Rhinolophus ferrumequinum: one gene and its partners. The protein of the gene in region 1 purifies or fractionates together with the protein of each later gene. This does not show direct contact. Links are inferred from orthologs where the notes say so. Each region holds a gene or a part of one and is shown on either strand. Other genes may lie near its edges.

Region 1 (10,395 bases):
ATACTTTCGTCTATTTTATTCTCTGCTGCATTGCCTATTCCTGGTAGGTGCACAACAAATTATCCCGAATGACTAAACCCTCAACCACAGTCTTAGAGTACAGGAACTTAGCTTTCATTACAACCCGTGATTCTCTTTATCACATTATATAATTGCTTTGACCACATTTCATAATAATCCTTTATTATATTTGGAGAAATACATTTTCAAATCCTATGGACCATTATATAATTTATATGGCTCATAAGCTCTTATATAATTTCTATAGGCCTTTTAGCTACATAATTTATTACAGAAATTAAAAACAACAGGAGTATCCTCCATAAACATATTTGCACAAATTCACACAATCACAGAAGAAATATGTATACCTGGGTATGTAATTAGCAAGTTAACTTTTTAAAAAATTTTCACTGTGTTTACACCTCCTGCTACAAATGCCACACACATGATTTTTCTCTCAATTATGTTTTACAGCTTATAAAAACACTTTTTTATTTTGTCCCTTAAAAAGCAAAGTAGTCAGATTTTACTGGATGTTTTTATTGAAACAAATCCCAAGGGGAATATACTCTGTTAAACAGAGCTGAAGAGAGATCTGAGAATGGGATTTCTGATAGAAGGGGAGATCACAAAATTACTCACAACTCTTAATCTGATAATAGGAGAATGCCCCACACATATGAACGGAGCCTTTCTTGGTATGCTTTACTACAAAAAGAGAACACAAGGAAAAGAGAACTGTAGAAAGAGAAGGTGAGAAAAACCTCAGAGCCTGGAAATGTATATTCATCATTTATTACTAACCTAAAGACGCCAACCTATTTCTCAGTGGAAATGGCTTCAAATAGTTAACCTTCCCTGATGTCTGGGCAGAGGCTGTGGGTGCTGTTGAGACAGCATGGGGACCAGGCTCAAGCACACACTTGTGTCGTCTGTCACATGTGAGGTTAAGATATTGCCTATCTGGTAAGGCTGTTGTGGCATCTGAAAGATGACATACTCAAAAGCAGCTTGAAAATTTTAAGAGGTCTTTAAGTTTCAATCTTTTGATTGAAAAAAATTCTACTATTTAATAGCAAATGGGGTGATTTCTAACGATGACATTCTCGTGGGACATCCCCTTAATAACTATGGTTCTTGTTTCCTTTTTATATGTGTATTATTTATCTGTATATCTAGACCGTAAATGCCTCCAGGGCAGCATTTCTTCCTCTTTAAAAATGTCTCCCTAATACCAAAAACATATGATACTTATGTGCAGTTCTTATTGGTGAGGGAAATGTGGGCCTTGCTGCAACTCAGTGTCTGTTAAATCAAAGTGATGCTGAATTGACACGAGTCAGTATACACATCATTTATTACTAAGAGGTGACTGTTTATTTTGCATTGAAAAAATTCTGTCCTGAAGGCTCAGAGTCAAAGACAACAGTTTCAACATACACCAGGGAGGTGCACTCCCTGGCACTTGAATTTCTGCATATTTTTTCCCCTGAAGGTAGCACCGTTAGAAAACTTGGGGTCCCATGAACAAAGACAGAAACCCAAGGAAAATATTAGGGATGACGGGGAAAAGAAAGCATAGATGGTTCTGGTGAGAGTCATTAGGTGTAATGACAGTGAAGAGGAAACCATGAGAACTGAGTGGACAAATGGGGGCACAAAAGGTTTTGGAAGGAGCTCTGACCAAACCAAGGGGAAAGGCTGAGCAGGAAGCGGGTGGGGAGATGGGAGGTGCTCAGCATGTGTAGGGAGCTGGGTACTCGTCATGGCGCGTCACCAGAGGCGCTGCTGCATCCTCTTAGAGAAAGGTGCGTGTCCTGAGAAAATTCACTGTAGTCTGCGATGACCACATTTGAGAAAAAGTTTATTTGAGGTTATTATACAGATTTGTTAAAGGAAAATTAGACTAATGCTATTTTGGACTTTTTTGTTTTACTAACAGCTAAGAAAATTGATTTCTGAAATGTGTCTCTTAGTCTAATCCTCACTAAAACAAACCAAAAAAAATCAAGATTATTAGTGGAACACATGCTTATATAGTCTTAAAATGAATTTGTAAGATAAAGGTATTTTTTCCTGCTTAGGAAAGTGTCACTTTTCTTTTATTGTAGATTTAAAAGTCATGAAAATACTAGTTACGAGCTTTCATATGGGCTGTGGCTAATATTGTACATCTTTATCATTCAGATAAATCTCATCCACTAATTCTGAAGGCATGGGGTGTACATCTAATGTAAAGCCCTATTGTGATGTATCAAGAACAAAGCAATCTTTGAAAAAGCTGTAGTCAGCAGACCATCTTCTATATGCCATAAATTCCATTATGTTAAAATAAAAATGTATTTAGGTTAATAACTGTAGTCTTATGCACTGATAAGTGTGAAACCTGAACAGATTTTTAAAAACACCAGTATATTTTGTAGGCAATCAGACACATTTTTGTACTACAGAAATTCCTTATAAGTGATGTAAATTTTACCTGTGTTATTCAGCAGTTCAGAAAGAGTGAACACTGAATACACCACAGAATTAACTGGAACCAAAGCACCTCACTTTTGTTCCATTACGGAAGTTTACATGTTAAAACAAAGTCTAATAAGCTTAGAGCTAGACAGTAAAGAAACCTATGTACCTGTAAATAATCCAGGCACCACTTACACTTTACATAAAAGCACAATTTATGCCCCAGTAGCACAGAGAAACACAATGTACATCATTCTCAGATCATCTTCATGCAGAAAAAAATCATTAGTCAGCTATAATAGTTTAGCTGTAAAGGAGAATAATGTTTTTCTGAATCCATTTGCATGGCAATATACATGTGTCTGGCTGATGGAAACAAGAGAATAAACCTCCATCCAACTCTACAAAATGTGAACAGTCTTCTTAAAATTCAGGAGACGGTCCAGATAGTCTACACTCTCTCCAATGTCCGTTTTTACAATCCTCCTATATTCGTCGACCATCTTAACTTGGCAATTAAAGTATGCTGATTATTTTGCCTAAGAGAGTTGACAATATTTCATTCTACCCCAGGGCTCCTTTGAACATAAAACTGTGATAAGAAAAAATACATTGGGCAACTATTCATGCATGAACCACTGGAACCCTCTTCAACTGCCAAATCTGTAAATGGCTCTTTTAAAACATGAAAGGTATGAAATGGGAAACCGTACTCTGGAGTAAATTCTGCATTGGCAATAGTCAGTAAGATTACTTTCATTAGTGCTTTTATGATTGGGTCAGTAACAGTACTGGCCAGACTACCGACCTCTGGTTATAACCTATTTCGCCTAATAAGATATATGCCCTCCCCAGAGCTCCAGCAAAGAGCTAAGGTACAATTGAAAATGATGGATCACAAGTCCTGTGTATTTGCCAGACATGAACAATTCAGACCTTCACAGAAACACCTGTCCCTTGGAAGGACTCCCACTAATACAGATAAAGCAGGGCTGGGGATAAGGAAACCTCTGGCTTTCAACCTTGCCAGCTGCATCACCGTGGGACAGGGTGACCAGGTCCCTCTCTTAAGGGATGAGTCAGATTGCAGTCTTGAAACTGGCCTGGCCATAAACAGTCATATATCACCCCCTCCCCAGCGCTCCTCTCTCCTGAGTCATACAGGTGGCCGGCAGAAGCGACCCCCTAAAACGAATAGCCCCATTCCAGTTTCGACCTCCCCCAGACCACATCCCTTGAGTTTCTGGAGCCTCTGAACTCTCGCCTACCTCTCTGGTCTCGTCTTCCGCACGCAACAGCAGTCAGGTCTCTTACGGGAACAAAGAGAGCAGAAGCGCGAGGGGTGGAGTGCGGGATCGGAAGAGGGTGTAGTTTACCTTGCGGGGCCCGGGAACCCGCGGCCGAGAAGTCCGTGGCCAGGGACCACCCGCGCACTCCGTGCCTCCCCGCCGCCTCCTCGCAGCGAGTCAGCTGTCGTCCCGCATCTGGCTCGCGCCCTCCGCTGGGCTCCGCATCTGGTCACAAAGCGCTCGGCCAGAGCCTCGGGTCACCTGCGGCCCGGCCCGCGAGCGGCGCTCCCGGCGGCGCTCCCTCCGCCTCTTCCCACCCGCGCCCGACCGTCCGTGACTCAGCCGGGAATGGGCGCGCGCACCGCCCGCGGAGGCCCGGGCACGTCCAGGCGGGAGGCACGGCCCTGCCACCCGACCCAGGCGCTCGGCCTCCCGCCCGCCCCAGCACGTGTCCGTCTGTCTGGCGCTCTGTCCGTCCGCCTAGTCCGCGGGTTCAAAGACCGCTGAGGTGAGGACTGGCACCACCCACAGGGGGAAATCGCCCCCGCCCTTCCTGCCGCCGCGCGCCGCGCCTGGCCCCACGGGGGTCGCGTTTCCTCCCAGCCCTCCCCCGCCCACGACAAGGTGAAACTTTCTAGGTGGAGAAGTTTTCTCGCCCTGGCCGCGCTCTCCTCCCCCAGCGCGGGCAGTTAGAAGTTCGCACAGCGGCAGATAAGCGGCACCGCGTCTCCCCCTCCTGGTGCTCGCGGGGCGAGCGTCGCCCGCGCGCACGGACCCCCGCGCCCACACTCCGCGCCACCCGCGGGAAGCGCGCGAGGCTCTGCCCGTCCCGCGTCCCGGTTAACCACCGGGCACTGACCCGGGTAGGGAAAGGTTTGGGCACCACGGAAACAAGGAATTCATTGTCAGAGACGGAGGTCAGAGTGGAGAGAAGAATTGTCCCAATGATCTCATTAGGCAGCGATTATCCCCTACTATAATAACTCGGATTTCTGGAAGGAAGAACAATGCAGGAGTGTAACCCCGAGGAAACCTCAGTTTCTTTAAGGTTTTTTTCTTTCTTTTTTCTTTTTTTTTCCCCCACAGCAGGAAACAGGCTGATTAAATAACTAGGCAAACATCAATGAACAAGCAAAACAGAACAAAAGTTTAATTCTTGAGTGTTGAAATCTTATGATTAAAAAAAGATTTGAGGGCTTGGTGAGTTGTGTTAGTATCAATTGTTTTAGGATAACTTTTTATATCTCACATGTCTTAATGTAAAAATTGACATTACCCTTCAAAAGAAAATAAATACTCAAAGTTAAAGAGACCTGAGCAGCAGTGTCCTCCTTTCTGACTCCTACAGGCTTGTTGGGATAATGGCATCGGTTAGTTATTGAAGTCATGGGACAATTTACAACTTACTATGCAGGTTCAGGAATTATTTACCTACAGAATGAAAAATAGAAAAATATAGTAAGAACAGTTAGCGTTTTCCTGAGAGCTTATGATGTGCCCCTTTACCAGGGACTGCACACTGCAGTTTCAATCCTAAAAAGTGATTACCTCATGATTCCTTAATTTTATGGAAAAGGGATGTTCCCGTTACATAACAGTAGAGCCCTGCATTGAAACATTTTGCAAATGAGGAAACTGATTGCCTAAGAGTCCTAACAGGGTCACACAGCTGGTTAGTATGAGAAGACAGGTTAGAACCCAGCCCTCAATTCCAGTCAAGGGTTCTTCATACTGCAAGAGGCCTCAGCCTGGCAGGGCTAAATAAACAATGCAGTCCTACCCAACATTTGCTGATATCACATGGCATAATTTAACAATGACTATGGTTTATATCAAAATGCTGATTTAGTGACTGGAGGACATTGAGTCTGGTATGGACAAATCAATTATAGATTTGGGGTTCAGTATGAACTTTCAATAAAAGGTGAATAAACTGACGAATTATTTCAGACACACACACACACACACACACACACACACACACACACGAATAATTAGCCATAGTTGTCCAAAGGAATGATTAGAGTGCTGTTTCTATTTCCTGGTTTCCATAGCAATATGTTAACTGGATTTTAGATTGTATTATGTAGTTGCCTTAACAGGTTTTCTGAGTTTGTCTGCCATGATAAAAATATAAAAGAAAAAAATTACAACTAAAGTGGTAGAAAGACCTAGACAAACCATTGCAAACTGGAAAATAAAATAGATTATAAACTCAAATAACATATATTTTCAGCACTGAAGTTTCCTAGTTTCTAGTTATTGACAAGTTTCAATCCAGTTTTGAAACGGTATAAAAATCGTCATTTTGATTTATTAACCATAAATAAGGAGATAACATTTTATAAAAATAACTAAGAAGAGCATAACTAAGAATCTCTCTGTGTGTGAAAAATCGAATAATTAAGTTTAAACAACACCTAGATAGGTTTGATCAGGAAAGGGGTAAAAGTAATTTCAAATATTTGGAAATGGATACAAGCAGATCTTTTAAAAAGGCAACAGGAGTTCTACCATTCAGTTTTGGTTTTGTGGCAAACTTCAATTGTTGCTGTTTCACTTTTCATGATACAGTGTGTCCATGACATGGGTGACACACTGTATGATGAAGTTCTGTTGGCATTTCCCTAACCAAACCAAACCCCTGTGGTTGGCTAAGCCAACACCTGTTCCCAAACCAGATACTCCCTTGCCTGTCTCCACTTCTGGAGCTGGAAAACAGAAAGCTGACTTTCCCAGACTCCTTTGTAGCCAAACAAGGCCACGTGATGTCATTCTGGCAGTGAGGTTAAGCTGAGATCTGTCGAGCACATCTATGAAAGAGTGTGGTGTCCTGATGAAAAGGACCTAATACGCTGCTGCCAGCCCTTCTCACTTCTTGCTTTCTTGATTTCATATGTAACGTCCAGCAGAGAGCTAGCAATTTTGTGAATGAGGAGAGAAGTTGGGTCTGACATTGCTGAGCTACAGCGCCAGTACTTCCAGATTTCTTGCTTTGTGGAAAAATACTTGTTCGAGACACTGTTAGCTGGGGTTTCTGTCACCTGTGTCCAAAAAACATTTAAAATTGATATACCCCTCAAATGGGGAGCAAGATATCTCCAAGACTGAGTTTAGCATTGTAGCTAAGAATGTGGGTTTTAGAGCCAGACAGCCTGGATTGAAATCCCAGTTCTGAGGTTGCTAGCTGTGTAACTACAGGCCAGTGGCATCAGCTCTCTGTGCCTTATCTATAAAATGGGAATAATAATAGGATGACTGTGAGGATGAAATGAGGAGCTACGAGGAAAGCATGTGGAAGGAGCCCTGGTAAAATATAAGGGCTCGAAAGGCATGAGCTATCCTTATCCACATACTTGTGGATAACATACTGTGTTTCCCTGAAAATAAGACTGTCGTGCAGGGCGGCCTGCAGGGTCTCAGCTCCGGCTCCCCACATAAGAACGCAGCATATGGTAAAGCCAAAAAGGAACATCCACGGAGCCATAGGTAGGGGAGTCAGACCACTATGGTCTCACTGGAGGCTGGATTCACACGATGTGCGACCTGCTGTCCACTTTTCTGCCAACCGACCGACTCCACTAGACTCACCAACCAGTGTAGCTGCGGCAGTTATATCAGCAGCCAATTGGCTCAAGGGTTACAGCTGACGGCCAACTAGCCAGAGCTGACGGCCATCTACTACCCGAGCCAGCACCCCTCCACGTGAGGCCGAGAGCTTGGAAACTGCTCTCTGGGGCTCTGTCCCCACAAAGACCTAACCAGAAAATAAGCCTTAGCATGATTTTTCAGGATGACATCCCCTGAACATAAGCCCTAATGTGTCTTTTGGAGCAAGAATTACTATAAGACCCGGTCTTATTTTCAGGGAAACACAGTAGTGCCAAACTATCCACAGGATCCCACCTCTTCACCCTACGATGGACCCAGTGGTAGCCATGGTCAGTAGAGAGGAACAGCAGTGTCTTGCCGCATCCTTTCTGCTCTCCCTTCATCACATGGAAATTTGCATCTTAGAAGGTACTCTTTCTTTAAGTTCATTCACATGGTGCTGTTTTTGAAACAAAAGTGAAAGCTGTCTTAGAACAGGGGCTTAACCTGGCAACCTGTGGAAGGCAGGGCCACAGAAACACACGGGCCCACAGTGTTTTTTAAAAGCTGGAATCACTGTGGCCAGAACCTGTGTTCTGCAGTTTGCTGTTGTCCTACCATCTTCTCTTGTAATGCATCCAGCATCCCAATGATCTTGATGTCACCTTATCCTACAGGACTTGTAAGCATTAGGATTTGTGACACCTGTCTTAGAGTATTTATTCTTGGATTCTCTCTCTCTGTTCTTCCCTCTCCCCAACTCTCCCCGTTACCCCTATTACTCTGCTTATGGAAAATGTCGCCACAAAAGGACAAGAAGAGTAATTCAGGTGATGGTTCCTCAAGTAATTTCTGTGGGCAAATACATTTTGGGGATGTAGGAATCTTTTTACCTTTTAGAGATACATTATCTGCATCAGAATATTGAAGATTCTGAAAATACACAGGGAAAAACAGAACAACAACAACAAAAGACACGCTTTTTTTTTCCGTCTTAACAGTTTCAGTAGCAATTTTCCTTAAAATTAGTTTAATAGGTAACATACTTTGGGAAACCTCGCCTTAAAGAATGGAAATGCCAGCCATAAAGGGTTAGAACAGGGCAATTTCCATATGAACTGCTTTTATGTTGATTTATATTGGTCATTTGGTTGTGGCTGGGTTATCTAAAAATAAAATATGCAACATTAAGTTATCTAAAAATATGACTAAGCTTATTTGATATCTTGGACAAGTAAAAGACGGCTATGCTCTTGAAGCTACAAGTGTCCCAATTTTACTCAGGAAGCCTAGGAAACTGGATGCAGGAAAATTAAAAATAAATTACCATCTCCAACAGGGTGCAGCGATTTTGTTAGTGATTTGGTTCATTTTCACATTCAGCTTATACCTCTCTTATAAAACACACGGTATAATGAAGGTATAATGTATTTAGCTCCCATTTATTAAATGTCTACCATGGATCAGTCATGTGTTTGAATCCTACTTATGTCCTCATAACAAACTCCAGGAAGGTATCATGCTCTAGTTTACATCCAGGGAAAGGAGGCTCAGAGAGATCATGTGATTCATCCAAGGTCACAACAGCTGGCCTCAGTCTGGCTCTTTCCAAAACTCCGCTTCCCTTGGCAACTGTTTACTAACTGGTCCTCCTGCTCTGGTGAGCCGTGCAGTCATTTAACAGAGACCAGTAGCACTTAAGCCTTCTTGTTTTCCCTTCTTCTCTGCCACTTAAGGCATGGCACCTCTGTTTGTTTGCCTTGGGGACTGGTTGTTGCAGTGCAGAATAAACCTTTGTTGCCCATCTGTAAAGCACTGTGCATTTTGGAACACGGGTCCCAAGCAGTCTGAGTGTCCTGGGGGTGGGCTGTAGGTGAGTATGACCACAACGTCCCCCACGTGGAAAGGAACTGGAATGTTCTTTCCCCATTGTCTGTGTTTTCACAACCCCTGAGCTCTTCATTGGGACTTAGGGAAGGTGAGAGAGAAAGGGAAGGCCCAGGTAATGAAGCCTGGAGTCGTTAAGAGACGGTCTTTTGGAGTCTCTGAAATAAAGGCAACAACGTCCAGAAAGGCTGCCCTCGTAATTCTCCTATCAATACTTCATGAAGCCATGTTCATTTCTTTTCCTTTTGTTTTCTGTTCTTGTCTTTTCCTTTTCTGTCTTTTACCTTGTGGTAAATTGTAAAAGCATTTTGGGAAAGAAAATGGGAAAAATCTTTCATTTTTATACAACATAGTATAGCATTATTTCCCAACTAGTATATCCATTCCATCTGTTCATTTAAACTGTTTGGCACTAATACAAGTGGATTAGCCTATCTGGGAAATAATGCACTAACAAAAATAAACGTGTCCTTCATTGAACAGCGTTTCTTTATGATTAACCCTTTAAAAACGAGTGTGTGTGTGTGTGTGTGTGTGTGTAATTACTGCAATCCTAAATTTTACCACTAACTTAATCAGTGCTTTGGCACTTAACCCCCGTGGATCAGTTTCTTCAGCTATAAAAACAGTTCCAAAGTCTGATGAAAATGATTTAAAAAATTAAGTATCAACTAAAATTTTACTGAAACCAGTCCTTTCGAAGCAAATACATCAAACAATTTACTAATTGTATTGTATATAAGGAGACATTGTATTAGAAAGAAAGTACTCCCGGGTGTGGTTCTTATTACTATTGCCTTATCCAAATAGGATAAAATTCTTTTTTCTATTCCAATCATTGATTCGTTTAATAATCAACTTAGGGATAGTATACTTGGTGAGTCCAAAAGTAAATTAGGCAATTTAGAAATGGCTACAATATTTCACAGTTAAAGAGGTAATATATGGGTCTTAGTGGCATTGAAAAAATGATGGAATGAAAGGTGTGATTAGAATCACTGTAACTATTACACATGGCTAATGTGTACTGAAGTATAATAAAGGTGGTTCCAACGCCTTTGCACTGGCCAGATTTTGACCTTTTGTTTAACAACCTCAGAGTCTAAACATAATTACTATTAATGTGGATTCAAAACACACAGAAGAAATGGCAATCACTCTG
Region 2 (10,097 bases), on another chromosome or scaffold:
CAGGGGCTGTCCTAGCCCAAACTGCCACTAGCACATAAGCAGACACATGCTCGCACACACAAAGCATAGGCATCACTCCGCCTGCGTGCACACACCCACACACAAGCACATGGGTGCTTACATACACACAGGTGTGCAGATACAATCTGGACACAGAAACACAGAGAGACACACGATGCTTACACATCTGCACAAAGACACATCCACATAGCGACAACCTCCTTAGACACAAAAACACACAAATCACACAAACATGCACTTTGCACAGGCACATGTCACACCCACCTACCAAAGACATACACATCACCACCATATTCAGACACCCACACATATAGATCCACGCACACTTCCCTGGTTCAAGCCCTGTCCTAGAGGGCTGTGGAAGCCAGGCCATCTCTTGCTATTTCCTCCCCTGAAGGTCAGAACAGAGCCAGGGCCCTGTGGGGGGGCGAGGGGGGGGGGCGCCGTCCTAAAAGAAGTCACCATCATGCCCAGCTGAGCGCCCAGAACTTGGGTGCCTGCTCTCTTAACAGACTCCTCCTTGTAGGCCCCAGCTAAGGCCTGCTGGAACCAAGAAACCATGACAACACCATCTTCCCCAGCCCCGGGTGGTCCCCAGCCAGGAGCACCAGGGGTTGGTGAAGTGCTCAGACAGGCTATACATTACAGGCCGGGAAACACTTCCCTTACTAGCCTGTGCCCAGGCCACGTTTCCCAGCCCCTCCCGCCATCCATCCAGCTGCCGGTCTGCCTGTAGGAGAGCTTCCCTCAGCCCAGGTCAGCTCCTCCCAGCCCAGGACCCCACGGGGCGTCCCTGGGGCTGCCCCAGAGTGAGCGGAGCTAGGCGCAAGGCACAAGGATCGGAGAAGAGGCCAGCAGCCCGGCGGGAGCAGGGGAGCCGTGGCCACAGCTCGGCTGGGCACTGCTCCCGAAATAGCTTGGGGGTTTCCATTTTTAGTGTGCAGAGAACAGGACAGCTCTATGGGAGCAAGAACAAGGCCGCCTCTGTTCACCGCCCAAGGGGGTGGGGAAGGGGGCGGCAAGGAGAGTTGTGAACCCGGCGAGAAGCCCAGGACTGTGGCAAAGCCAGGCTTCCCAGGAGCCCCCCACCTTGTTTCCAGGGGTGAGAGAAGAAAGTTTCCTCCTCTTGGAAGGCAGGGTCTGCCTGGGGACTGGCAGAGGCCACCTCCTGCTCAGGGATGCGCCTGGGGCAGACGGCCCATACTTGGACCAACACTCACTCCTTTATTCATTTGCAAACATTTGCTCAGAGCCTACTATGTGCCAAGGTTCTCTACCCCTCAAGGGGAAGCAACCAAGACACTCCCAAATGTAAAATCACAACTGGGTGGCCCACAGGAAGATGGGCGGGATCAGAACAACTCCTGGCCAGGCCAGAGGAGACTGGAGGCTGACCCACCCTGGGAAAAATGGCAGGCTTCTTCTATCTCTGAACACGGCCTGGCACCCCTTGCCCTTCCCCACATACCTCCAGTAGGGGAGGAGGAAAAGAAAGATAGTGACAATTTCTCCTCCCTTTTGGGCACTCCTATTTCATTTAACCTCTGCCACAGGCCACAGAGCAGCCCCCAGGCCCTCCCACTTCACGGGAATCCAAGCACATCCCTCCCCCGAGTCTTTGGGGCACCCTAGAGCCTGTGACAAAGGTCAAACCTCTCCAATGCCCACCCTCTTCCATCCAATCCATGCCCCATCCATCCCCCACACGTGCTCCTCATTCCTGCCGGCCTGAACTACAGGCTCTTCCCACTGCCTGGAATGCCCACTCCCTGTCTGTCCCATTAACTTGACTCCCCGCCATCATGTCCCAGGGAGCCTTCTGGGCTGCTGCGGAGCCCATCCGGTGGGTGCTGAGTTCACTGCAGCTCTGCCTTGGGCTCTGTGAGCCTCAGAGTCCCCATTTGCAGAACAGAAGGCAGTACTGCGTGCTCTGACCGCTAAACATGATACGGTGTGTGCCTGGCATTAGTGGCACCAACCAAGGGCACTTTTGCCCGTTCCACCCTTCCACTCTGGACTTGAAGTTGCTTGAAGGCAGGGCATGTGGCTTTTGATCCAGAGGCCCCAGCAACTCAGAACAGGTTAACACAGAGCAGGTGCTCCTGGTATTTTGAAAGAACCCCCTTTTCATAGCCAAGGAAACCTAGCCAATAGGGGAGATACGGGGTTTTCTAAGCTACTTGGTCTCTCCGAGGACAAGGTGTGAGCCCCACTTTTGTTAATGATCGGGCCAGAGAAGACTGAAAAGGATGGTTTGGAGCCAGGCCTCACGTGCCCAACTTGCACAGCTAGGATCTCCTGCTCACTCGGCAGATCTCAGGCCCCGTCCACACTCACAGCCACAGCCTCTCTGCCTGTGCCCAGGCCTGTGCTGAGGTCTCTTCTGGCCCACCTTTCTGTGGATCTCTTCAGCAGGGCCCAAGGCGGCCTAACTTCTGTCTGCAAAGAGCCAGCACCACCTGGGCCCTCGGGAGGCTGTCCTCACCAACCAAAGGGGCTCACAGACTCTGCCCTTCCACATCATAAGCAGCCGTCATTTCCGTGTCGCGAGTCCCGAGTCCCAGGGATCAGTGAGAAACTGGCCTTTCCTTTCGGCGATCCTGCTGGGCTCCCAGGGTCCAGCCAGAAGAGTTACTCATTGACCGTGCTGGAGCGCACACTGCTCGCCCTGTTGTCTGTGTGTTGACGTGGGGTGGGAGGATCCACCATTTACCCTGCACCCGCGAGGACTCAAGGACCGTCAGTGTACCGAGAAGGGGGGGTCCCCCTCTGGGGGTGCGTGGCAGGAGGCTCACAGTCCGCCTTGAGCGCAGCCTGGTAGGGCTGCTACTACAAGAGGGGAAGCCTCGGCTTCCCATCGGCTCTCCCCGACCCTCCTCCCTCTTCTTCGGACCGCGGGGCAAGGACCCCACCAGTGGTCCTGGGAGGGCGGGGAAGGGGCCGGCCGGTTCCAGCTGAGGCGGCGGCGAGGAGGGGGCGCGGAGGAGCAGCTCCACCTCCTCTGTCTCCCAATCGCGTTACAGGCGGAGCCGCCAGAGTTTCCCTTCGCGCGAAGAAGTGTGGTCCCAACTCTTAGGACCGAAGCCGCCCACTACTCACCCGGGCTATCCCTGCCCCGCGGGATCGAAGCCTCGGGCCCTTCACCCCGGGGTGCGCCGCCGTGCCGGGTCCCCACCGCCCCGGCCCGGGTCCCCGCACTCACCACCCGGCTGGGCCCCGCGGGACTAGTGCGCCGAGGCGGGCGCCAGCCGCTCCGGGCTCGGGAATCTGCGCGCGGCGACTTCGCTGCCCGGCCCCCCCCCCCGGAGGTGGGTCTGACGGAGCCGCAGCTGTTACCCGGAGACCGAGGGGCGGAAAACTGCGCCCGCTGCCCGCCCCTCCCGCCGCGGCGCTGCCACCGCCCGGAACAAAGGAGACAAAGCCGCGTCGTCCGGGCCCGCTCCGCTCCTTCCCCCCGCGCCCGCCGGGCCGCCCTCCCCCCGCCCGCCGCCCAGGCCAGGCCGGAAGCAGCCGGGAGAGCCGGGCGCGCGCCCCGAGCCGCCCGGGACCCCGCATTCCAACCCAGCCGGCTCTGAATTTGCAGAGGGCGGGGGACTTGACCCCTCCCCTGTGGGGGGCAGGCACCCGGGCGGTAGCCATGGCAACGCGGATCGCAGCGGGCGGTGGCGGGGAGAGTAGTGGAGCGCGGCAGCCCCACCCCGCCCCGTCCCTGCCGGGCTTTACCTGTGCTGCGCTGGAACTGGAATTGGGAGCACTTCCAGGACTGGAGGGGCGGGGATGAGGGTCGCGTTCCGCACCCCCAGGTGTGGTGGTACAGCGCGCGGTCCTATTCCTGCCCGCCAGCGCCGGGTGGGACCCACGCCCCTCACCTGCCCCGCCTGTTAGCTGGGCACCACGTCTGCCCTGCAGTGCCCCGAGCTTCCTCTTTCCATACCTGGCTCCCGTAGTCAGCCTCCTCCAACTTTCTTTACCTAGGCGCCTTGTTTCTCCCACTGCCCCGGGTCCTGCCCACTGCCCCTACTCCCTGGACTCCCAAACAGCCAACCCCTCCTTCCGGCCCCCACCTCTGGCTGTGCGGGAAGAGCGCAGCTTTTGGGGTTGGGCCTGGGTTTGCGCCATCACTAAGCCAAGTAACCTGACCCCCGCCCCCGACTATATCCACAAGCCTGTTTGCTCACCGGCAAGTGGAGGTGATACCACACCTAGCCTGGCTGTTACAGGAGGGCTCATCGGCTGTAAAAGTGCACAAGCAAGGGCGCATTTCCTTCGTTTCTCCCAGGCCTGTACCTGGATCCACCCCAAAGAGAGAAGCTTGGGCAAGTCCAGACTCCCTCACTGACGAATACCTGGGCATTAGGAGGGAGGAACCGCTGAGCCCAAGGGTTCTCTCCAGAGGCCCGTTTGTGCCCCCTGCTGGGCCCTTCTCACCTTGGCCTGCCGGTTGCAAACTCTGGAGCCAAGACCTGGCCCATCCTATTAGGACTTTTGGAGGACTTTGGCTTAAGGCCACTGGGATGGCTCCCTGGGAGAAAAAATTTGTCACATACACATCACCCTGGAAGATCCCAGAGCCTCCCCAGACTGGGAGGGGTCTCACCCACAAAGTTCAGGTCATCCATACTTGCTACTGTACAAAAAGCTAATACACAGGCACCCTCTTCCCACCTCCCCCCTCCATCAAGAGTCTGCCTTCCCTCTCATCTACCTCATGCTGCCTTCCTAATTCTCCCTCCTCAACTCCGCAGGTCACTCCCTTTCCTCCACCCCTTCCAGCACCTGGGGCCAGGCACTCAGTACCTGGTCTGCACCAGCATGGCACCCTCTCCCCAGTTCCCTCATCCCTGGCCTCTGACGGTAGACCTCAGGTCCTGCCAATCTGGCACCCCAGGTCTTACACTCCACTCCTGTACCCATCACCATCTCAGCCAGGTCAGTCGGCCCAAGTGGCTCACAGGCTTTCCTGCCTGTGATGCTTGTGGGGAGCCCTTTCCACGTGGCTGGAATCCTCCCCTCCCTAAATCCATTCACTCAAGTGCACACCCTTTAGGACCTACATCATCCAGAGGGGGACCTGGGACTTCCAAATCCCATGGTGCCCCTCATCTGATATGGCATCTCCACCCCATTGGAAGGGGAGTGTCCCAAGTGCAGAGGTCATGTCATCCCGTGCCATCCTGGCGAACCATTACAAAGAAAACAGTGCCAAGGATGAAGTGACCCAATGACCAAGGGACCAGGTGCTCAGAGGTTCATAGCACATATGGGGCCACTTGGGCCATGCTCACTGCCCAGGCCTGAGCACAGGCTCCAAAAAGGGAGGGCACCTCATGGGAAACACTTCTGGCTCCGAAGGCCTCTGCTGAGCCAGCCTGCAGAAGTCCCTACCTGCAGACCCTGTGTAGCAACTTGGTTCTCTGAAAGGTTCTCGAGGCCCACAGGTCCTCCAACACGCCGGTGGGAGTACAGAGTGCCTCCCCACTGCTCCTGTTTACTCAAGGATACACAAGGCCACGGTGGCCATTTAGCCGGGGAGGTCAAAGTTTGCCCTTTCCCTCTGCAAAGGCAGAGGTCAGTGGTTCTCAGGGCAGTCTGCCTCCATGCCCCCCACTGCACCTCCCACCTCTGGGAGGCCTCTCCCCATCACTGCCTCTCCGTTCACACTGCTGATGGGCTGAGCTCTGCCATCCCTGGGCTGTGTGTGGGAGGATACCCAGCTCTAGTGGCACACTAGTACTGCCCAAAGCTCTCTGCACCAGGGACCCAGATTGGCCACCAATCCCGGTAATTATGTCCCCAGCAATATTTATCAACCCTTCCCCCAGCCCCTCTTCCCTGCTCTCCCCTGATCATTGCTCCAGCATTAGATCCAGGAGGTTCTTCCCACCATGGCAGAGAAAGTGATCCAGAAGAGGGGCAGTAACCATGGTCACCAATGAGTGGGAAGCAGGCTAGGTTCCACTCACGGGAACGCCCAGGCCACCTGACACAGGAGGGTTGGGCAAGCGGACGGCAGGCCAGAAAATCCAAAATGAAAATCCAGGCCTCAAGGGTAAGTGTATCCAAAATGGTCCTGCACCAAGGACAAGACCAATGGAGATGAGAGAGGAACTAAATGGGGTGATTACGGTAATACCAGGCCCAACCCTCACGTCCCAAATCTCAATTTTCAACAGACAAAACTCAGTCCGATATAAATTACTTTAAATAATACAAATTCAAAGACATTTTAATTGGACACTAGCACAAAATTTTCATAATTACTGTAAATGAGCATTGCCTAAAAAGCCAAGTGTGCCTGCTAGTGAGCCACAGAGATGGTACTCAGACTCCGGCTGAGGTTGTGTGTACCCCAAAGGCTCACTTCACTGCTGGGATTCTCTAACTAAATCCGCATCCACACCCATCCCTCAGGCCCTCTGGAGGAGGGTCCAGGTGCTAGCTGGCCCTAAAAAGCATGTAGAGCACAGGCATGGTGGCTGCAATTGTCACACAGGTGACCAGCGTGCTGTAGATGGTGTTCCTGTTGACCTGGGCTTCTAGCCTCTGCTCCATGTCCGACAGCGCCAAGATCACGCCCTCCTGCTCCAGCAAGGAGCCAGGCAGCGCCCCATCTGCTGGGTCCACCAGGCCTGGATGTGCCACAGCCTTTGCAAGCTGAACCACCCCAGCTGCTTGGCTGAAAGTCTTTTCCAGGCCGTCAAGCTGCTCTCGTAAACCCTCTAGACAGGAACGGACCTGCCTGGAATGGCTGAGCTGCTCTTTCAAGGCAGCTGAAAGGACATCTGTGTCTCTGTCTCGGGCCGGGGAAGTACCTGCCTGGGACTCAGAGCTCTGCCCTGGCCCGGCTTGCACCAGGCCCCGTAGGTCCGCCATGAGGTCATGGAGGTCCCTCTGCTGGAGGGAGTAGCTGGATGCCTGTTCTCGGATGGCCTCCTGGAGGCTCACAGGCCCCTTCTGTGCCTCCAGGAGCAAGGTCTTCAGCTCCTGTAGCCGCACACGGTTCACGTAGGTGGAACCAGCCACACCAATCAGGGCGCCCAGGACTGACCCAATGAGGGACCAGTTCTTGGTTCTCTCTGCCCGAGTGCGCTCCTTCTCGTGACTTGCCCGCACGGCCGCAGAGAAGAGGGAGAACTTCTCTCGCTCAGAGTCTTCAGCACGCACATAGGCCGTGCGAAGCCTCTTCTCCTCCTGCGGAAACGAAGCGGTATGAGACAGCAGCAGTATGACCCTGCAGCTTCAGCTGCCAGCAGATGTCCCACTACCGTGTCCCTGGGGCTCAGCCCCACGCTGGGCACACATTACATGCTAATGAATGAAGGCGGCACAAATCTGGCTGGGTGGGACGAGCAGACGGTTATCGGGTGGTCGAGATGAGCGGCACTAAGCTTCTACCTGAGCAATCTCAGGAAGTGTCTGGCACTCTTGGGGCCACCCCCTCCATGGTGCTCTCTCCTCAGCAATCTGGGGCCCAAATTATACTGCCTTGGACCGTGGACCCCAGTCCTCCAGGCAGGAGGAAGTGGGTGGATGGGCTCTGGAAGCCTGGGGCCCAGTCCTTACATAGGGGCTTCCGGTTTACCTCCTCCCCAGGTCTCCGAACACCAGACAGTCAGGGTTTCCGCCCCGCCCCTCCACGACCTGCCAGGCTAGGGTCCCTGTCCAGGTGACGGAGGGCTGCCTGCCAAGGCACCTACCTGCAGCATCCTGTGCTCCAGGGTAGCCAGTTCCAGATACTGGCTGTCCTCTCTGGAGATGCGGTCCAAGCGGTCCCTCACCTCCTTCAGCTTGGCCTGCTGCCTTTGCAAGTCCTCCTGAGCCTCACGCACGAGCCCCCGAGCCACCATGAACACTTTCTCCGCCTGTGGAGAGAACAACGGAGGCCACTGCCCCTTCTCTCCATACCCACACGGGCTCCACTCTGAGGCTGTGGCTGAGAACAGGGCAGTGGGGTGTCGGTGCAAAGGGAGGAAAGACAGTCCCTCGGACACATAATCCTGGCTCACCCAGGGCTCCTGAGTGCAGCCCTGGGCCACGCCCATCAGAATCACCGGATTTATCCATTCAGGTTGAAAAAACATGCCCCTGAGAACCTCAAAAACAGCTAGGAATGCACAGTCTTTGTCCACCAAGCCCAGCCAACTCTAGTCTGACACAAACACCAGGAAGGAACCTATGAAAGATGTTTCCGTGTGTTACCTAATTTACACCTCACAACAGCCTCCATTTTGCAGATCCAGGAACCCCTCTCAACCAAGGTCATGACCTCCAAGGGGAGAGACAGCACTGTGCCTCCAAACTTCCAGTTGAAGCCCGGGTTCTTCCCACCTCACAACACTGGCCCAGGCGGCAGGAGTGGCAACAGAGGTGGCAGAATGCATTTCCACTGCCACAAATGACTTAACAAACACAGGCAGCTCTTTCAACCTCACAGAATGACATTTCCCAGGGCCTCTGCCTTCACCAGGGGTGTTTTAATTACACAGCAACCCCCAAACCATCAATGAAGGAAGTGTTTGCTGGCCTGACAGAACAGATGCTAACATCTAGGGACTCACTGGTACACAGCAACTTGTTTTCGGGGTGGGTGGAGGCACAGTTACACAGAGATCTTCACCCCAGGAGGATGTCATGTGAGCAACAGTCAAATCCCCCTCCTAATTGTATTTGTTCAAGAAAAGACAAATCAGGGTAGCTTCTCAGCCACGTGGCTGGTGACCTGCTTGGCAGGAGCCTCCAGGCTGTATTTCCCGTCAGAGGGCAGGGCCCACCACTCAGGCTCCCCTCCTCACCTCAGTCACGTTTCCCTGGGCCTCTCGAACCTCATTGAGTCCGACAAACTCTTCATATCTGTCCCACCAAGTCTTGGCTGTGGAGGACGCTCGCTGCTGAATGCCACGGCCCAGGGCTCTTCCCAGCACTGTGAGGCGGCGGTATGGCCCAAGGGCCACCTCCTCAGGGCCTTTCTCTCTCGGCTGGCTGGGGCTCGGGCTGCAGAGAGTCCTGGTCATAGAATGGTCCCTTCCAAGGAGGCCTCTCCGCACCAGCACAGGGGGCACACCCGTGACGTGCTGCATGGCGAACACAGGGCTGCACCCCGTCATCGGGAGATCTGTGGGGCACAGCAGGCAGATCAACTCGTGGCTGAGAAAGGCTGGGCATAAGTCAGGTTTCAAGACCGTGGGGCTGTTCTGAAACGACTTAACTTCCATTAAAAAGTCCAAACTTAGGGCGGCCGGATGGCTCAGTTGGTTAGAGCGCGGGCTCTGAACAATAGGGTTGCTGGTTCGATTCCCGCATGGGCCAGTGAGCTGCGCCCTCCACAACTAGATTGAAGACAACGAGCTGCTGCTGAGCTCCCAGAGGGGCGGCCAGATAGCTCAGTTGGTTAGAGTGCGAACTCTCAACAACAAGGTTGCAGGTTCAATTCCCACATGGGATGGTGGGCTGCGCCCCCTGCAACTAAAGATTGAAAATGGTGACTGGACTTGGAGCTGAGCTGCATCTTCCACAACTAGATTGAAGGACAACGACTTGGAGCTGATGGGCCCTGGAGAAACACACTGCTCCCCAATATTCCCCAATAAAAATAAAATTAAAATAAAAAATCCAAACTTAGCGCTACTCTGCGCCTGGAGACAGCCGACACTGTGGCCAGGCTTCCCCCTGGCTGCACCTGGACAGGGGACACATCAGGAAAGAACATGTGTCAGAAATCACGCCTTCCACCTTCCTCCACAACGCCACACGAACCAGACCCTCCCATTCCACCCACCTTCTCCCCATGCCCCAGGTCTCTGTTATGACTCGGATGAGAATTCTGAGGCCCAGGTTTCTGATAATGTCAAAGAAAATTCTCAAACCAGAGTTGCGCCCATACTGTCAAAGCCTCACAAAGATTGATAAAGGCTCCCGGGGTTTCGGGGACAGAGGACAACTTTTCTGAGGTTCATACTAACCCTTCTCTACCTGCCCTGCAAGCCCAGACTTTCCAACTGCCACTCACATTTCTCACTTTCCTTAAGCTTTCTCCCTCCTCTTCAATCTTAGTCACTGCTCAACAGGTTAGGTTTCTT
Region 3 (10,144 bases), on another chromosome or scaffold:
AACTGACTCTGGGTGGTGAACACACAATGGGATTTATAGATGAGGTATACAGAATTGTACACCTGAAATCTATGTTACTTTACTAACAATTGTCACCCCAATAAACTTTAATTAAAAAAAAAGTACTTTCTTACCCTTTTGCAAGTAAATATAGAAAAAGTGAAGAAGAGACATAAAGCCTAGGGAATCCGCTAACCATTGCCGTCTTTCTCTCACTTTCTTTTATGCCACTTTCACTCTATTTAGGAAATTCAAGGAAAGCTTCCATATCAGATGAACACACTAGTATGCAAAAACAACACTGCCTGAGTAGACTATCAAACAGTAAATATAAAATGGAGTTGTAAATGGAACACACTGGGGCCATAACTTGAGATGACTTTAAAGATAAAACTAAAACATTTTTTTTGTCACTTAAAAGCCCTTATGGATCATCTTAATGAATGTTTGGACTACCCTATAAATACTGTAAACAGCAAGACAACTGTCAAAGTCCCATGGACCAAATGTTTCCCAACAGAATCAATGCTCAAATTCTCTGAAGTCTCAATTAACAATTATAGTACCATGAATCCAAGTATCTTTTCACAGCAAATCCATTCATTAAAAACCATTATCAAGCAACATTTTGCCTGTTGGGTGGCTAACAATGTTTCCTTCTATCCAGAAAATCAAGATTTTACATGAAAAGAAACTCAAGCACAGGAAATGCATAAATTCATTGACTATATCTTTGAGGGTTGAAATTGGCTTAGCAAAAGCAACCTAAACTGTATACCAAAGCCACAAGATCAATAATCTGGGAATTTCGAAATCTTCTGGGCAACCAACTTGACAGCGAAACTATACGATCAGCCTCATTTTAACTTGTAATCCCCCAGTCGCCTTCTTGGACCCCTCAATCCTGAGAGCCACGCTGCCCACTATCTTCCTGGGCTATCCCCATGCACTTCATTAATGTGTAAAGAAAACACGAATACTTGGCTGGGCAAGAAAAACTCAGCCTCCCTCCAGCTGTTAGGCAGATTCTTCTCCCTGTTGAAAACACAACTTAGGGAGACTAATGTCTCTCTCAAGTATTATATTTTCCGACTACACTAAGCTTATTCCTCAAAACAACTATTAAAAAACAAACATAAAACCACAGCATTCAGCGTGGGCACACAATCAGAAACCACTTTACATTGTACTTGTCTCATCTTCTTGAAGACTCAGAAAGCTGCCTGAAGGGTCTCATGTGTCATTAGCAGTGCACGTCTGATCCGCACCTGACCTTCTCCTTGTATTCTGAATATTCATAGACTCCTAGAAAGTTATAATCTAAGAGGACCTTTAGAGATGATCTAGTCTGAGCTCCACTTGAAATGAACTGGATGAGACTCGTTAACCTCTTACAGCCCAGTCAGTCAGGCAGATATGGGTTCAAATCCTGCCTCTGGCACATTCTGGTAATGCAGACTGTTTTCTTATCTGAAAAACAGAGATAATACCTACCTCATAAAACTTTGGGATGATTAAATGAAATAATATTTTTTTTTAATTTAGACTTTCCTTTTTTCTTTTGTCCCTTTTAAGATAATTTTTTGGCCGATTTTCTTTCTGGTTTATATTACATTAAATTGCAAGTCCAAGAGATGGGGCTTTTCTCCTACTGTATTTCCTAATCTTATGATTCGTAGCCCAGTACACAGCATCTTTTGAGAGAACCATAGACCAACTATGTGAAAGAATACATTAAACCTCTATCGCCACTACCTATTTCGGCAAATGTATTGTACTTTAGTTCCCCGAAGAACCCAACCATTTAGGTTTACATCTTTCCCAAACTGTGCCTTCTCAAAACAAATACCTCTTTCTAACTCCCTGCTCTCTCTTCTTACACACATACATCCTTCTGTTTAAAACTAAGAGCTGAAAAAAACCACTGCCTCTCCCAAATGTTTGAAATAAAATTAGCATTTTTACCAGGATAGTAATGCAAACTGTGATAGGTGGAGAGACAGGATTTGGAAGGATTCAAAACTTCTGGCAAACTTTCTTAGGATGTGTGGCATCAAGTCCTTAAATGAGAATTGTTATAACAATTATGGCAGAAAGTAAACCAGAAATTCACTGGTCAATTCTCAGTGAAGCTAAATACTGCACTTCACTCCATTCTTTGGCAAACAGTGACTAACAGGATTAACCCCAGTCTAATATTGGGTTAAATATCCTTCAACAAGAAACAGGTTCCATTAGCGGTGTCGGTCCCTTGGTAGTCAATTTATATTTAATATATATTTAATATATATTTATATATTAAATTTTGCTTTTGAAACACATTTGACTAAAAAAAATTTGCTCCATATGCCAGGGCAATAGTGTCATTTCTTTCCTTAGCAGGGGGGCAGCAACAAAAGGACCCACGGGGGAAAACAGGATAAAATCCCAGTCCCCGGAAGAGGACACAGATTTCCACCAAAGTAAGGTTGGTTCTTTCAAGGAATGTTTTCCATAACACCTAAAACGGTTTAACACATAATCGTCATCTTGTACCACTTACACAAATACCATTTAAGCAACTCTGGTGGCCTGGAAAAGGACCACAGAAATCCTTCCTGGCCTCAGCTGTCCCCTCCTGCGGGGCTTGACAGCGTGTCCAAGGCACCCAAACACCAGCCACCAGGCTCCCCCCAGCGCCCTCCTCTCGCAGCAAGCTGCTAAGGCTCTAGGGCCAAACTCCAATGTTGCTGGATTCAAAACCGCGAAAATGTGAACCCTGCAAAGCAAACGGTAGAGCGCGTAATAACTTCTCATTCTTCTTCTTTTCGCGGATTGGAGATGCTTGCGTCTAACTCTAAACCAACTATCCAGGTCCACAGCCCGCTTCTCGCAATCTACCTCCAGGGGAAGGCAAGAGGGTGTACGGACCAAAGAGAGGGCTGGTGAGTTCTACATTCTCAGCGAATTTCCTAGTGCGAGAAATGTAGTACACAGCAGCCCCATAATGATTAGATGCAGATATAAAGGAAGGAGAATGCTCTTCTCCCCACCGCTGCTAAAAGGAATAATAAAAACATGCAGCGGGCGTTTAGCTGGAAATGCCGGGCCCTCCTCTGGGCTGAAGAGGCCCGCAAAGCAGGCGTCTGGAGTCTGAAGAAAGTTGCCCGTCAAAGTGGAGGCCAGAACATGAGTGTACAGACTCGGTCCCAAAGGGGCCGAGGGGAAAGAGATGGGGTCCAACCAGCCCCGCGCGCGGCCAGCTGCAGCTGCCAGAGAGAGGTGTGGGCACCGAGGCCCGTGGAGCACCCGCCGAAACTGTACTTACATAACGCTTCAACTTTTTCTCCGGGGGGGACTTGCGAAGCCATCCCGAGCAGACCACTTCGCCGCCGCTCATGGTGCGCGCCTCTCGGGCTCCGGCCCGGGCAGCAGAGGGGCGGGCGGGCGCGATCCCGATACAGTCGACGCCTGCCGGTAGCGCAGACGCTGGGACCTCGCTCTCCGGTCGCGCAGCTCGGGCCGACGGAGCGGGCGGGCTACTAGGAGTGCCGGCTCTCCGCGTCCGAGGCTCTCTCTCGCAGATCCGCGAACTTGAACAGAAACGGGCTGCGCCGCGGAGGCCGACACCTCGGAGCAGGGGCAGTCCCCGGACCGAGGGCGCCCCGGCCTCCCTTCACGGCGTCCGCCTTCCAGCCAGGCGCCCCGTCCCGCGGCCTCCTCAGCAGCGATCGGGATCCGTGGGACTCTGCCCCGGCCCGGAGCAGGAGCCTCGGTCCCCTGCGCTCCGCCCCCTAGGGACAGGACCTCCCCAGAGTGCTTTCCGAAAGACACTATGCTGCACGCGCACACACACACTCACACACACAATGCCCCGCGCAGCGTCCACTCCAGCTTGCCCGCTCTCGGTTTCGGTGCGCCCGGGACAATCCTCCCCTTCGCCCTCGTCGGAGGATGGCGGGTCACTGCCCCGCACGCCCGGGAAGCGGGGAGGAAAGGGAAAACTGCGAGGGTCCGGTGGGCAGTGGGCGCAGGGTAGGTCCTGAGTCGGCCGCCAAGCGCTGGGCAGCGCAGGGCGGCAGGCGCTAGGGACCCAGCAGGTTTCGCCGGAGGGTGGGTTCACGCTCGCGGCCGCCGAAGAGGGCGGGGAGCGGGGAGGAACCAGGCGCTCGGCTTCTCGGCTCTGGGGATGGATCCCACTGTCCCGTCCCCTTGCGCTCCTTCGGCGCCGCCTCCCCCACCCGGGGCCAGCGGCAGATTCTGAGCCGCCCGGCCCACGGCCCCGATCCCTCCCGCTCCCGACTCCCTCTTCCTCCCTTTTCTCCTCCCCTTCCCACGTTGGGGCCGGCTCCGGTTTCTGCCCAGACTTTCTCTGAAACTCCGCCCGAGGGCTTCCAGCCAAAACAACAAGGGCCAGGGGGGAGGGGAAAAAAGGAGGAGGGAGCGAGAGAGGGAGGGAACGGGAGTCCGAGAGGCACCCTGGGATCTGTAGTTCTGGAAGCTGGAGCGGGGTCCTCCGCCTCCCAGTGGCGGTGGCGGCCGGAGCCCCCAGCCCGCTCTGTGCTGGGGACGGGAGGAGTAGCCTCGGCAAGGCCATCGCTGTTGAGACTTGGGCGCGGGGAGAGTGAGGAACGTTCGAGTGTTTACCATCTTGGCTCACCCGGGTGTCAGTTCGGAGTTTGTACTACTGCATGAGATCTGGAGTTCGGGAAGTTTTCTCTATTTGACAGCCTGCAAAGTAAAAGAGCCGGTAGGGCGACCGCAGAGCCTTGGGGAGGCAGCGACCCCGCCGATTCCTGCCTGGGAAACCGAAGGGCCGAGGGCGGAGGGCGCGTGGGAGCGCGCCATAGATACCTGCCTGAAGGGGAGGACAGAAGGACCCACCCGGGCTAGCGTGGTCTGGTCCCCCGAGCAGCCCTGCCAGAGTGGTGGGATCTCTTAGAGGGGCCAAAGGATTCGATTGAGTCAATCTCTGGGACACTGTAAAGCCTCACACTCCCTCCATTTGTTGCCAGTTTTTTCCACTTGACTTTGTATTTGTTTAAAGTCTCCCTTTGGGATGTTGGACGAGAAAAGGGCAAGTTACTGGATGTCCTAGTTCTATTTGCCTACTTGTGTGTGTTTTACAATTATGATACCTGGTCCTGAGATTAACATGATCCTGTAATAGAAATATCTTTTCCAACTTATTTATGAAAAACTAAGCCCCAACACAAATTTTAGAAGGTAACATAAATAATCAGATAAAAATACTAAAATATTAGGAGATAAGTGAACATTTCTGGAAACAACCTCAGGCGTTTTCTTATTTACACACGTTCATATTCAGGACTTCCTCTGAGTTTGAAAATGTAAAATTATAGTAGGAAATTAAGTGCTGGGGTGGCGATATACACAAGTTCCTACACTCATGGAGGTGACACTCCCGTGGTGGCATAGGAGAGTAAAAAAGTGAAAGGTCTATGGAGTACAGATTGTGATAAATGTTGTGCCGTGAGGGAAATAAACCCGATAAGGTGAAAGAACAATGGGATGGAACTAGGTTAGATAGGATAAGAGATAAGTATTCCTTGAGGAGGCATTTAGCCCGATATTTGAAAGACGTTGTAAAGAGAGAACTAGACTCGTTTTGTGGAAGAATAAAAGGCATAACCGTAAGGAGGACTGAGAGAGAAAGAACAAGCAAGATGTTTGTTGTAAGGGTTTTTTAAGAACACAAGTGAGTAATTTTTATGGCAGCTAATGAACCAAAATAATTTCTTTTTACGTACCGTGTTTCCCGGAAAATAAGACCTAGCTGGACAATCAGCTCTAATGTATCTTTTGGAGCAAAAATTAATATAAGATCTGGTCTTATTTTACTATAAGACTGGGTCTGCTAGGTCTTATTTTCAGGGAAATGGTATGTGAACACAAATTTTGCCACAGGCCAAAATAAATCATCGAATTTGTTTTCACTTCTCCCATAGGCAGTGTGTCTACACCAAGTCAAAAGCATTTATAATTAACTTTGGTAAGACGGGTCCACCCTTGCTTAGTTAACTGTTGGCTTTTATTTACCACTGTCTCCACTCCTGTTCTAAAGTTGTTTTGAAAGAAAAATCGTAATGTATCTTGTACTATTTAGCTTTTGGAAGCTCCAATAATTAAATATATATATATATATATATATATATATATATATATTTCAAAGAAGGGATTCAGTTATCTCATTTCTATATAAGAAATCTTTAAATATTTTTCCATATCATTGACTCTGATTTAGATGAGAATTTCTAGAGACCAAATAAGGGTTGAGGAGAGGTTGACAATAGATACGTCTCCATGTATGTATTTTAGACAAGACAGTTGCATTATTTTACATCATATGCCATTTTTCGATTATCTGTTACCTTTTATATCTAAAAGATATGCTGGAAAAAGCTATTATACATAAGTATTTTAAATTTCATTCCTACAACAAACATTTATGGAATATCCTAGTATGTATAAGTCCCTGAGGACCACAGATACGATAGGGAGGAAAGCCAGACATGTTCCCGTAGTCCTCTATCCTGGAAAAAAAAGGTTTTAAGATAATTAACCCCATAACTTCTATAATACAATTAATAAATGTTATGAAAGAAAAAAAAATAGAGTGTGTTATTTGGGTGTATAACCGGGTCTACCCTCCATGGAAGGAGAGTGAGCAGGTTAGGAAAGACTTCCTTTGGAAAAGACTTTAAACTGAGGTTCTCAGGATGAGTACAAGTTGGCCTGGCCACGTTGTGGAGAAGAGTGTTCTAGACAAAAGAGAAACTACTAGGTTACAAGTCAGGCTGGAGGGAGCTCCTGAGTACCTAAAAGACAGCAGCAGTGGGGCGAGTGAGAGGGGACACTGGGTGAGAGGGTGAGGTTCCAGAGGCAGGCAAGGGAAGGATTGTGCAGACCCCTGGAGATCTCAGAGTTTGGACTTTTCCTTAGAGCAAATGACCACGTCATTTCCTGTGACCTTCAAATCACCTCCAACAATTGCCTCTATGGGCTTTATTATTCACCTCCAGCATCCCACTTTAACCAGATATCTTCAACTTGATCTTTCAAGTTTTTCCAATATAATCTTTCTTCTCAACAGCTTTTGCAGCCTGTTGATACCTCTGCTTTCTCATGATCCATCAGACCTCTCCTTTCTTCACCCCTTATCCAGTTTAAATTTTATGGTCCATATTTTTAATAACATACACCAAACTCACAAAACCCCAACTCTGAATGAACCCCAGTCTGCTTTCTCCTGCATCAAGTGATGCTGGAGCAAGTTACGCATGAGTGACACCACTAAAAAATTCACATTTAATGACCTCCAATAGCTCCTCAGCTATCAGCACAGGCAGATCTTGGTCTTCTGGGACCTGAAGCTTATACGGTTTGGGAAGTTCTTTTAAAGGAAAAGAATATACAATTACAAATATAAAATTAGGATGAAAGTGTATTTAGAATGAGAAAATAAATAACAAATGATTGGAGCCTAGGACTACAGATGCATTTCTTTTGAGATCTCTGTGATGATTTACCAGAATCCTCCCATGGATATGTTTCCTGAGTGCATCCTGGCTTCCCCTCCCAAGCAGCACACTGCACCTTTCCCATCAGCTCCCTATTCTCCTGGGGGCCTGTGCAATGAGTGGCTCCGAGCTGAAGATTCATTAGCTTCATGGATGTCTCTGCTAGTCAGCAATCCTACTTCATTTATTTGGACAGTACACTCACTAGTCTACCCTCTGAAATAACTTTTCTTTTTAAATAACAGCTTTATTGAGGTATAATTCATAGGCCATAAAATTCACATTTTTTCAAGTGTACAATTCAATGGTTTTTAGTATGTTCATAAAATTCTTCAACCACACCACTAATTTCAGAATATTTCATTGCCCCAAATAAAAACTCCATTCTCATTCCCCCTTCCCTCTCAGCCCCTGAGAACCACTAATCTTTCTGCTTCTATGGATTTGCCTCTTTTGAACATTTCACATAAGTGGCAACATACAATTTGTGACATTTTGTGACTAGCTTCTTTCAGTTAGCATAAGTTTTAAAGGTTTGTGCAGGTTGTAGCATGTATCAGTACTTCATTTTCTATTGTTAAACAATATTCGATTGTATGGATACAACACATTTTATTTACCCATTTATCAGTTGATGGGCATTTGGCTTGTTTCTAATTTTTGGCTATAATGAATAATGCTTACAATAACTCTTAAACTTTCTTCAGATTTCTCAAATTTTCAAACCCTCTACTTTTCCCATCAACTGACTATCTTTCTTATAGCTTCCCCAGAAAACCAAAGTGCTCAAATGGAAACTCCTTTGACTTCTAGCCATCAAACATCAAACATGCAAACCTACATACTATCTTCACTCCTCTTACTCTTCCGCTTCCTATGGCAAATAAGGACATTGCTTTTCGCCTGTGAAAGGCCAATCTCTCCACTTATACTTTGAATTTCATCCCATTGCACTGTCTCAAGAACCTCACCCTGTAAATGATCTTTTTATATCTAAATACTCCATTCTCAATGTAATTCTTTCCATCACTATGTGCATGTGTGTGTTCAAATAAAACTTTATTTACAAAAACAAGTGGCAAGACAGATTTGGCCAAGGGCCATAGTTTGCCAATTTTTGCTTTATACCACCATGATATGATTGGGTGTGCATACACACAGACTCATACATACACACACACAAACACATGTTTTTTAAAATGGAAGTGTACTATAATGCCCTTTAAAGTAGCTATTGTGAGAGAGAATCTTATGTGAAGTTGCTGATAACATGTAGTTGCAGATTATTTAACTCTTCCCTAATATTAGCATTATCCTGCATAAACAATTGAAAAATTAAAATGAAAGTTGGTTCCACTGTATTTGACAAAATTATTGTAGGCAATAATAGATTACAGTTCTCTAAAACTGAGTTAAATTATACATTTTCAACATACATTTCTTCTGTCAAAGTATCATTTTAAACATACCTCTTTTCTGTTAAAACAAAACAATGTGAAAAAACGTCTACATCTTATATTCCTTTTTAGCTACCAGCTTTTCTCTCTTCTTTCACAGCCAGATTTCTATTAAGTGTTGCTATAGTTTCTGTTCCTAGTTCTCATCTTCCTTCACTCCTCAGACTGCTTCTTTCTGGCTATCATCCCAATTTCTCTTATACTTGAAAAGGTCACTCTGACCCCCACATCACTAAATCAAACAATAATTTTCAGTCTTTATATTTCTCAGTCACTCCTTCCTAAAACTCTCAGTACCCTTGATCTTAGAGATATTGCAGTTTTGAACCTTCCTGTTTCCTTGCTCCATCTTAGATTTCTTTGCAGGCTCTTCTTTTACTGGCCCTTGGCATTCTGAAATCTAGCCCGCCTCTCTTCTCATTCTCTACTTTTTCATGTATGGTGGTATCTGTGTGTTTATCTGTACCTAGACATTTCACAAATTTCCATCCCCAGTTCAGTTCTCTCTTCTGAACAACCAACCTGTAAATCCAACTGTCTTCGGGATATGGCACTTGGCTCCACAGAATTAACAAGATCAGAATCATGATCTTCTCCCCAGCTCTCAGATCAGAACTCTGGAGATTCCCATTCAAGTGGACCCCTTGAGTCTTCAGCTGAATACTGATCAGCAGATGCAGGTAAAGAAATCACTTGACATTAAGGAAAGAGCCACTGAAAAGGATTACAGGGAAAACTCACCAGGAGGTGGCACGGGGTAGAAATAGTTCCTATTCTCCCAGCCGGAGTGAAAAACATAATTCACAGGGCACTGTAGAGTACCCTGAAGGATACCCTCAATCGTGGGGCAAAACTAGCCCTAGACTAACCGCTGCTGTGGTCCTTCCTAAGAAGTCTTAACAGCAAGATCCCCCAGGATCAAACTGTTTCCAAGTAATTTAATCATGTCCCAAACAAGAGCTCACATATATTTGTAGGAAAACAAAAATATCCAACACCTAACAAGATAAAATGTATAATATTTGACATCCAACAAGAAATTTTAAAAAGCAAGTAAGTATGGCACAAAATGAGGAGATAAATCAATTGAAGCCAACCTGGAAATGACATTAAAATTAGTTAACAAAAACAGAACAGTTGTTATAACTATACCCCATGTTCAAGAAG

What was found.
Region 2: the proteins of MET (region 1) and PLXNB1 purify together in Homo sapiens (co-immunoprecipitation; 3 studies listed by IntAct). This does not show direct contact. The link is inferred for Rhinolophus ferrumequinum from reciprocal best matches to the Homo sapiens genes MET and PLXNB1.
Region 3: the proteins of MET (region 1) and GAB1 purify together in Homo sapiens (affinity purification with western blotting; 3 studies listed by BioGRID and IntAct, with this or other methods). This does not show direct contact. The link is inferred for Rhinolophus ferrumequinum from reciprocal best matches to the Homo sapiens genes MET and GAB1.

What each region holds. Positions count from the first base shown.
Region 1 is NC_046309.1:26,253,466-26,263,860, forward strand, and holds the start of MET (hepatocyte growth factor receptor), read right to left. Parts: upstream 4,158-10,395; 5' UTR 3,735-4,157; intron 1-3,734. UniProt on the Homo sapiens protein: Receptor tyrosine kinase that transduces signals from the extracellular matrix into the cytoplasm by binding to hepatocyte growth factor/HGF ligand. Regulates many physiological processes including proliferation, scattering, morphogenesis and survival.
Region 2 is NC_046300.1:7,651,956-7,662,052, reverse strand, and holds the start of PLXNB1 (plexin-B1), read right to left. Parts: upstream 4,329-10,097; 5' UTR 4,200-4,328; intron 4,058-4,199; exon of another isoform or gene 3,956-4,057; intron 3,790-3,955; exon of another isoform or gene 3,745-3,789; intron 3,464-3,744; exon of another isoform or gene 3,224-3,463; intron 1-3,223. Other genes in the region: CCDC51 (mitochondrial potassium channel), read right to left, coding at 6,457-7,212, 7,719-7,883, 8,814-9,233. UniProt on the Homo sapiens protein: Receptor for SEMA4D. Plays a role in GABAergic synapse development. Mediates SEMA4A- and SEMA4D-dependent inhibitory synapse development. Plays a role in RHOA activation and subsequent changes of the actin cytoskeleton.
Region 3 is NC_046301.1:17,748,658-17,758,801, reverse strand, and holds the start of GAB1 (GRB2-associated-binding protein 1), read right to left. Parts: upstream 4,197-10,144; 5' UTR 3,380-4,196; coding exon 3,308-3,379; intron 1-3,307. UniProt on the Homo sapiens protein: Adapter protein that plays a role in intracellular signaling cascades triggered by activated receptor-type kinases. Plays a role in FGFR1 signaling. Probably involved in signaling by the epidermal growth factor receptor (EGFR) and the insulin receptor (INSR).